Sus scrofa: one gene and its partner. The protein of the gene in region 2 interacts with the protein of the main gene of each other region in a biochemical or structural test. Links are inferred from orthologs where the notes say so. Each region holds a gene or a part of one and is shown on either strand. Other genes may lie near its edges.

Region 1 (4,140 bases), on a different chromosome or scaffold from region 2:
AAAGGATTCTCTTGTGTAGTTTCTCCAGAGCCAAAAACAGAAATGAAGACCCTGAGATGGGCAATTTCACAGTTTGCTTCAGTGGAGAGGATTGTAGGAGAAGATAAATATTTCTGTGAAAATTGCCATCATTACACTGAAGCTGAACGAAGTCTTTTGTTTGACAAAATGCCTGAAGTTATAACTATTCATTTGAAGTGCTTTGCTGCTAGTGGCTTGGAGTGAGTATGCTAAAGTTTTGTTCAAAATACTATATAGTAACAAAATAGTGTAGTAGTGTACTTAACAGTTTCTATAAAAAAGCATCAATCAGTTTAACCTTTGGTAAAAATGCATATGATTTGTTTACACATTTTCCATTTTCATTTCTTTAGATTTTTTTAGTGGAACTGATGAAAGTGGCGAAAATTTTGTATACATCAACACTTTTTTGAGGGAAGAAAAAAAGCAAAATTATTTTAGTTTTTCTGGTAAGCAAGCCAGGAAATAAAATTAGTCTTTGAACAATTTGAGAGATTTTTCTGTAGCTGAAAATTTAAATATCTAAAAGCAATTAAAAATAATATAAAAATGCCAGTTTAGATAGACTTGACTTTTTTCTGACAGGTATACATAATGTCATTGCAGATGAATTGAGATTACCACGAGAGCTTCCCAGTAGCTCTCCACACATTGTTATTTTCTTTCTTTTTGTATTTTTTGTCTCCAAAACTTGATAGAGACAGACTTCACATTAAAATAACTTAATAAAATGGTTGAGAATTTTTTAAAATCCATTTTCTTACTGCACAAAAAAATTTAGGGAAGTGCCATATATCCTTCATAGAAGTACCTGAATGTTTGTTAGTACTTTTTTCAGTATTCCTTATGTAAATACTTTACAAAATCAAGGTCTTATTTTTACTTTGTGTTTATTCATATGAACAATAAATGTTAAGGGTTTGTTCAGTTGGGTGTAAAACTGAATATATATAATTTGGAATCCCAGAAAACTTTTCTTTTTTCCTTCCTAAGGTTTGATTGTTATGGTGGTGGACTTTCCAAGATCAACACTCCTTTACTGACACCTCTTAAATTGTCACTGGAAGAATGGAGCACAAAGCCAACCAACGACAGCTATGGATTATTTGCAGTTGTAATGCATAGTGGCATTACAATTAGTAGCGGGCATTATACTGCTTCTGTTAAAGTCACTGACCTTAACAGTTTAGAACTAGATAAGGAAAACTTTGTGATCGACCAAATGTGTGAAGTAGGTAAGCCAGAACCACTCAATGAGGAGGAAGCGAGGGGTGTGGTTGAAAATTATGATGATGAAGAAGTGTCCATTAGAGTCAGTGGAAGTACCCAGCCAAGTAAAGTTTTGAACAAAAAAAATGTAGAAGCTATTGGACTTCTTGGAGGACAAAAGAGCAAAGCAGATTATGAGTTATACAACAAAGCATCTAATCCTGATAAAGTTGCCAGTACAGCACTTGCTGAAAACAGAAATTCTGAGACTAATACTAATGGGACCCATGAATCTGATAGAAACAAGGAATCCAGTGACCAAATAGGCATTAATATTAGTGGATTTGAGAACAAGATTTCGTACATAGTGCAAAGCTTAAAGGAGTATGAGGGGAAGTGGTTGCTTTTTGATGATTCTGAAGTGAAAGTTACTGAAGAGAAGGACTTCTTGAATTCTCTTTCCCCTTCTACATCTCCTACATCTACTCCTTACTTGCTATTTTATAAGAAGTTATAGTGAGCGTATTTTCCTTGTGTATATATTAAACAGACCTGGACAACATCAGTAAAAGTCTTTAGCTAATCTTCGGAAGCTATTGGACATTATTGGTCTCTCTAGGTTTTTATATAAATAGTGATATTTGAATTACTGAAAACCATGTTAATTTTTAGAATTCATCTTCCTTAGTAGAGACTAGTGATGCATTAGCTTCTGGGAACAAACTTGTATAGGTTCTTAATTATTCAAAATGGAAGCATTTAAACACTTTTGAATTTACACCTATCTTTTTGTGTTTGATTTTTAAAATAAAGTGCTTGTATTTGTATCTCCATATTTTGGAGTAATTATCTACATGAGGTTTATAGGTCCTGTGGTTTTTTCCAGCTAAGAAGCAGAATCTCACTTTAGTTTTTTATAAGTCATGAAGCCAAATCTTTGATGGGCTATATTAGAGGCACAAAGTCTGGAATATGTACGTATTCACAATAGGGTACATTTTGTGCCTTGAATTACTTTGAAAAGTGTCTCAGAAAGCTTTGGTAGTCTGTCTTCACGAGAGTTTTATATGTATTTATGAAGATGCTTCTGTACTCTAGTAAATCTTTTCGGGCATGTACTAATTTGTACCTCTTCATAGTCATACTCTGCATGATCTGTATATAGTACATCAAAGGTAGACGCGTGACCTTAAATTTAACATTTTTTTAAAAACTGGGAGGTCAATAAAATTTAAACTGCTTAACAACTATGTATACAAATGCTTGAAGTTTTGTTGCATTTTTTTTAATATCACAAGTTTGGCTGGTTTCTCCTAAGAGTATGTGAAATGTGTTACGTATATACACACATCTAGATAAGAAAATAAACATGCGTAATTACCTTTAGTAATAATACTTTTTCACAGTTGGAGGTAAAGAAATTCTCAAAGAGGAGAGTGTGTCCGTCTAGGTTGTCATACCTTATCCTTTAAAGCAGATGTATAACTAAGGAATCTCAAACTGGAGAACTTAAAAAACTTGGTTAAATTTTCATTGTAAATATAAGTTGGTAAATGACCCATTTTCGTTTTATATATAAGTTGGTAAATGACCCATTATGACTTGTTAAAGGATATAAGGATATTTTTGACATTAAGAACGTTAAAAATAATCCCAAAGAATATGTAAGTGCTCTAGGAATAACACTGCTGTACACCATTTCAACACAAAGAGTATCTGTCAACTAATAGATTACAGTTAAATAATGTCTTAGAAACTCTTTCACAAGATGGTGTGATATAAAAAGTCACAGTTCTTACCTCTTTCTATATTCAGAATCACTAATGTGACTTTTAAAAAGTTAACAGTGCTAAATACTACCCATAAGCAGCTGAGGGAGTAGGAATCACTAATGGATAAAGTGATTATAAAATGAAACAGTCCTGAACACTACTCATAAGCTTCTGGTGGAGTAGTTCCTTGTATAGAGAACCTGAGCTTCTGTAATACTCAAGAAACAGCCAAGGGTAAGAACTAGTACAGATTCTTCATAAGAGAAAGTTTAAGAAAACTGAAGAATATAGTAAGTTAGGAAGTGTTCAGTTATACCAATGTTTTAAGAGAAAGCCTCTTCTGATTCAAGTCAGACAGTAGTATTGCATGATAACTGAATCATTAATTACATAAATCTTAAAAGCCCCTATAGTGTAACTGAGCTGGGTCACAATCCAAACTCTTAAAATACATGTAACCTTATGAGAAATGAGCTAGGAATTACTTAATATTCTTCCCCCCATCCTTACCCTAGAGAGGATGGAGTATGTATGTTACCTTTTTTTTTTTGGTTTGTTTTAAAGGGTTTCCGTTCTTGACATTGCCTTTTCCTTACTGTTCATCTGGAGCCTCTGTTCCCAAATATAGTTTTGAAGTTATGCCTTTCTGACTCCCTAGTCATCTCTTTTGGTCCACCTGTAGACTCACCTGAAAAAACTCTGTGGTTCAGTCTTTGAATTGATGTAGATAAGAGGCATTTGAGATAATATCACCTGTTACAAAGGTAGGTTAAGAGTGGGGGAAGCCATCAATCGCATCTATGTATCAGACATTTTTGAGACTGTTCTCAACATCAGTGACAGAATGAAGGCACCATATTATATCTGATTGCTTCTTAAGTGATTCATGTAAGTGGTCAGTAGATCAAAAGGATAGATTATAATATAAATGATGCCAATACTATATACTACAAGCTATAGTATCACAAAAGGAAAAAACATTGTTTAAAACACTCCTAGAAATCATTAACATGCACTTTCTTGGAAAAATTTGCCAAGCAATTGAACATAAAATCTTTGTATTTTTCATATTATAAAGTGAAAATTTTAAATTAATTAGCTCTTAATTAGAACAGCTAAATTTACCTTTCACATGTAC
Region 2 (5,634 bases):
AGGTGAACTAATGTCTGCAAGAACAAAAATGAAGATTGGCAAGACTGAAATGTAATTTAGAAGAAAAAGAATTAGCCTCTGCATTTTTATTACTATACTTTTTTATATTATTTTATTACTATTTATGAGTATATTTTAAAGTCCTTACTTGGTAAAAATAGCAAATACAGATTTTTTGTTTTGGGTTTTTTTTTGGTCTTTTTAGGGCTGCACCTGTGGCACATGGAAGTTCCCAGGCTAGGGGTCGAATCAGAGCTACAGCTGCCAGCCTATGCCACAGCAACTGGGGATCAAAGTTGTGTCTGTGACCTACACCACAGCTCATGGCAACGTTGAATCCTTAACCCACTGAGCAAGGCCAGGGATCGAACTTGCATCCTCATGAATACTAGTTGGGTTCATTAACCACTGAACCACAATGGAAACTCCCCAGTTTGTTTGTTTTAAATCAAATTTTCCACAATATTCGGATATATATAGCTTCCCAATCCTATTCTATGTTTGGGTTTGATACACAAACCCATTGTTCTATAGTTTATAAAGGTTGCACTGAATTTGCATTGCCTTCTCACAATTTAGATGGCATTTATAAACCACCTTAAGACATCAAGTCTTTCAAGTTCTCACAAATTAGTTACTTGGAAATGCAAATTTTGACTATTTTTCTTTAGAGTTTTCTTTAATTTTAGCAATTACCTTGCCACAGACGGTCATGTCCCATCCCATCCCCCCTTCCCCTGCCAAATTCACATTAAAACCAAATCCCCAATGTAATGAATGTAATGCTGTTTGAGGTGGGGCCTTTGGGAGATACTTAGGGTTAAGCAGGCAGAGCCTTCGTGAATATCCTTACAAATGACCACAAAGCTCTCTCTTGCCCCTTTTCACAGAAGGCTGCTATCTGTGAACCAAGAAGCGGTTCAGAAACCAAAATCTGCCAGTTTCCTAGTCTCCATAACTGTAAGAAATAAATTTTTGTTGTTTATAAGCCACTTAGTCTATGGAATCTTGTTACAGCAGCATAAAGTTACTTTTCAAAGTACTGTGTTTACTTAGAAATTACTTACTGCTTCCTCCTCTTTATCAACATTACTCGTTTGTGACAACTTAATATTTCCATTTCCGAGTTCTCCACTTGCAGAAAATTTCACTCCATCTTTTGCACAGGAAATTACAACAGCATCTCCAATGTGACTGAGATCTCGGCATATACGTGCAAATTCACCAGAAGGCATCTTTACTACACAGCTGTACTCTTGTTCCTATGAAACAAGGAAACTTAAGTTCAATGAATGGAAATGAAAGATTTGGCACCCTTACTGTCTGAAGACTCAGCATTTAAACAAGAGAATTTAAGGTTTTCTAATTATTTTGAAATATCACTTTGTGTAATTTCTTAACATACTCTAACCACTCAAAACGTAAACACAGTTATAGAACAAGAATGTTATAAAATAATCAAAGGAAACAAATAAGAACTTGAACTTTTATAGTAAATGCACTGTCCAGGGAACAAGAGCCTCCCCTTAAATGATCTACAGGGTTAAATCAAGAGAACATTAGGGTATAGCACACACACAATGACGGTGCTAACAGGCCGTCATTTTTTTGAAAAACAAAACAAGAAAATACAATTACTAGGCATATTAAACATCCAAACCCTCTTCTCTCATTTAATGTTGATAAACCAAAGCATAATGAATTTCTGCTAAAGTAGCTTTAAAATGTACTCAATAAAAAATTAAGCATTGTAGGAATAAAAAGAAGAGAGTCAATTAGGTTAATGCAAATATGCATGTGGCAGCAATCAATTCAAAACAATGAGCCATTGCAGAATACCATCATTTATATCAGTCTAAATACTCGGATTTGGAACATACATGAGCAGATATACAGAAAAAGCTCTTTTAGGAAGTAGGCTTTATTATATTAATATATTTTATGTAACTATCATGACTGTATGTAGTATGCTCAATCAGAAACTTTGATACTCACTGGAATTCCAAGTTGCTCAACATCTAAATCCATTAACTTCATTTCATAGTCTGAAACCTTTTCCTGATCTACCAAAAGAAAGCAAACGATGAAGAAAAACATGTAGGTTTATAATTGTGATAAATTTTACAATTACCACAAACTATCTTAAATTTCTCTCAGCTTTGGGAAATAAAGACACTGCATTCTAATCTCCTCTAGCATTAACTCAGAAGGGTGTAACTTACTTGGAGCTTCAAACACTAGTGCCAAGGTGTCTGCATTATCTTCTGCCCTTAGCGTAATGATGTCTTCATTGCCAGCACATTTTAGTATTTTGGACATGCTGGAACACAGGAGACAAGAGTTTAAAATCGACACCATCTTCTCAAGATCGTTAGCTTTCTAACTCAATTAAAACCATGAGTTACCACTTTTAACCACTGGACCACGTGTCGAATTGGCGAGTTTGGGAAACGTACTGCAGGAAGATGTAAGAGAGTCCAGCCGTTTTGGAATGCAATCTGCCAGTATTTATACTTATACGAAAAAGCCCACACCCCACAATGTGCAATTTCGCTTCGGGATATTAAAAAAAAGACCAGTATTTTAGAAAGTACAAATCCCTTTGGTGGGTGAAGTAAATTATTGGGCCGCGACGATCTTAGATTTTAATGTACCCACTGAAGCACCAGTCTATTATATTGAGTGTAGCACGGGTAAACACTTTTCACAAGCTTTAAAACTTAAACATGTGTATGTACTAGGAAAGGTAGTGATCAAAAAGTTTAAAACCACTGTCCTTCCTGGAGAAATTTTTCCTCAAATCCAGGATCTTAGGATGTTCACTGCAACTTTGCGGTAAAAAAGTAAGCTATTGTCCATATCACGGCGACAGAAGTAGGGCAAATTATAAAGCGGCTCATCTAAAGGCGCCTGCAATTAATAACCAAGGGCTCCGCAACAATCTTTTCCTGGCACCGCGAAGAAGCCCGTCGTTTTCCCGCCACCACTTGCTTTGTGACTTTGGCGCGGAAACAGCCGGTTCGCGCTGCAGTCAGCGCGGGCTTTCCGAACCGCGCGCTCTGCTACTGGTCCCGCCCCCCCGCCCCGCGCCACAGGCCAATAAGAAAGGTGCAGATATCCCACGCCAGCCAATAAGGGCCCGCCTTATGGGCGCTCCCGCCAAGAGCGGAGGTAGGGGTGTCCGCGGGCCCGACAGTCTGCGGCTTCGGGACTCACCTGGTGAGGTTCACGCCCATGGCCAAATTGCGGTCGCAGCGGTACGTGTCGAAGCCCTCGGAGCGCAGGGTGAGCTGCACCAAAGAGACATGAGACGAGTCCATGCTCTGCAGGTTCACGCCGCTGGAGCTGATGTCCCAGCAGGCCTCGTTGATGAGGTCTTTAAGCGCTTCCAGCACCTTCTTCAGGATAGAGCCCTGGACCAGGCGCGCCTCGAACATGGTGGTGGAATCACAACGACGCGGCTACAGGTGGAAGAAAGAAGGAAGGAGTAGCCGGCTTAGGCTTCAGAAGTTGAGAGAGAGCAGGAAAACACCACAACAGAGCCTGAACCGGAGGACGCACACTGCCAGCCGGCCGCGCCTGCAGCGGTTTAATACAGCCGCGTCTGCGAGCGCGCGCTACGCCCCCACGCCCTTCATGGCTACGTCACCACGCTGCCCCGCCCACTGCCTGGGCGGAGAGGCTGCGGAGCCAATCGTGTCCCTGCTCCACATGAAGCCCGTCCCACCCCGAACATCCATTGGAGAGTGTGGGCGTAGGGGCGGGGCAGGAATCTTGCGCCTAACGAGGGCCTGCTGATAGGCATCCTGCGGGGCTCCCCGCCTTTTTGTCGTGTTCCGGCGCCCGGACGTTAGACAAGTCGGGGCAAGTGTGAAGGTCAGGCCTAGGCTTGGGGGGGGGTCGTTGAGGTGGCTTTGTGGTGCCTCATCAATTTCCCGCTTGAGGGATGGGACATTTACAGCCTTGAAAGTGAAGGTGAAACGGAAATCCAGCCTTCTAGGAGGAAGAGCCACCATGCGCCTAAAGAGTATAGCTACTTTAAATATGCACTTTTTTCCCCCTGCTATTATAGAGTAGCAATTATAGAAGCGTTCCTAAAAGTGAACAATAAAGAGATGTACAGTTATGATTAAAAGAAAACAGTTATCGTGGCTCCCCACTGCCATCGCCTCCCCCACCACACACACACCAAACTATCGTTTACTGCATACAACTTTCTAAGCTTTTTTTTTTGTACAAATGTACTTTTAAAAACAAAATTCAGGAGTTCCCGTCGTGGCGCAGTGGTTAACGAATCCGACTAGGAACCATGAGGTTGCGGGTTCGAACCCTGGCCTTGCTCAGCGGGTTAAGGATCCGGCGTTGCTGTGAGCTGTGGTATAGGTTGCAGATGCGGCTGAGATTCTGAGTTGCTGTGGCTCTGGAGTAGTAGGCTGGTGGCTACAGCTCCGATTGGACCCCTAGCCTGGGAACCTCCATGTGCCGCGGGAGCTGCCCTAGAAAAGACAAAAATAAATAAATAATTAAATAAAAACAAAATTCAGGGAGTTCCCCTAGTAGCGCAGTGGAAACAATCCGATTAGGAACCCTGAGGTTGCGGCTCGATCCCTGGCCTTGCTCAGTGAGTTAAGGATCAGGCGTTGCCGTGAGCTGTGGTGTAGGTCACAGACGCGGCTTGGATCTGGAGTTGCTGTGGCATAGGCCAGCAGCTGTAGCTCGTATTCTACCCGCAGCCTGGGAACTTCCCTATGCCTCGGGCGCGGCCCTGAAAACAAAAAACAAAAAAACGGTTTATACTGTAAACACTTATGCAAAATACTTAACAAAGTATGTTTAATTTTATGCCACGTACTTCTTTTCTACATCATCATCTCTTTAAAAAAAGATTTACCAATTTCTTGTAATTCGGGCAAGTCTTTGAGGTAGTATTGCTGGATCAAAGAGCATATACATGAAAATTTTGATGAATGTGTTACTAAACTGACTTCTAAAAGATTTCAATTTATGTTATAGCCAGGACAATGAGCCTGCTCATCTCCCCTAATTTTTCTGTGGGTATTAGCAACCTCATTTTTAAAGAAATTGTGCTCATTTGTGTGAAAAAGTCAATATTTAATATGCAATTTGCACATTAAATGATTGGTACAGGTTAGATAGCTTTCATATATTTCTTTTTTTCTTTTTAGGGCCACACCTGTGGCATATGGAAGTTTCCATACTAGGGATTGAATAGGAGCTACAGCTGCTGACCTACACCACAGCCACAGCCATGCCAGATCTGAGATGCACCTGCAACCTATGCCACAGCTTGCACCAATGCAGGATCTTAACCCACTGAGACCAAGGACTGAACCCACATCCTCATGGATACTAGTCGGGTTCTTAACCCGCTGAAGCACAGTGGGAGCTCCTGTCACATATTTGACCATTACATGCTTATATTTTTCTATTAAACTGTCTTTTTCTTATTGATTAAAAGGAACACATCATGTATTAATCATTTCCCTATTGTAAATATCCCCCTTTGTTTCTTTTTTGCTCTTGTTTACAGCATTTCTCTTTAGTTGCTTCTAAAATTTTACATTGGTCTATAGAATTCTTTAGTTTTTCTACCATATATCTAGGTATGGATTT

What was found.
Region 1: of the proteins of PCNA (region 2) and USP1, one has a biochemical effect on the other in vitro, tested with the Homo sapiens proteins (6 studies listed by BioGRID, with this or other methods). The link is inferred for Sus scrofa from reciprocal best matches to the Homo sapiens genes PCNA and USP1.

The regions. Positions count from the first base shown.
Region 1 is NC_010448.4:149,972,258-149,976,397, reverse strand, and holds part of USP1 (ubiquitin carboxyl-terminal hydrolase 1), read left to right. Parts: intron 1-19; coding exon 20-221; intron 222-1,014; coding exon 1,015-1,747; 3' UTR 1,748-4,140. UniProt on the Homo sapiens protein: Negative regulator of DNA damage repair which specifically deubiquitinates monoubiquitinated FANCD2. Also involved in PCNA-mediated translesion synthesis (TLS) by deubiquitinating monoubiquitinated PCNA.
Region 2 is NC_010459.5:14,139,107-14,144,740, forward strand, and holds the start of PCNA (proliferating cell nuclear antigen), read right to left. Parts: upstream 3,479-5,634; 5' UTR 3,438-3,478; coding exon 3,217-3,437; intron 2,321-3,216; coding exon 2,223-2,320; intron 2,064-2,222; coding exon 1,996-2,063; intron 1,263-1,995; coding exon 1,068-1,262; intron 1-1,067. UniProt on the Homo sapiens protein: Auxiliary protein of DNA polymerase delta and epsilon, is involved in the control of eukaryotic DNA replication by increasing the polymerase's processibility during elongation of the leading strand.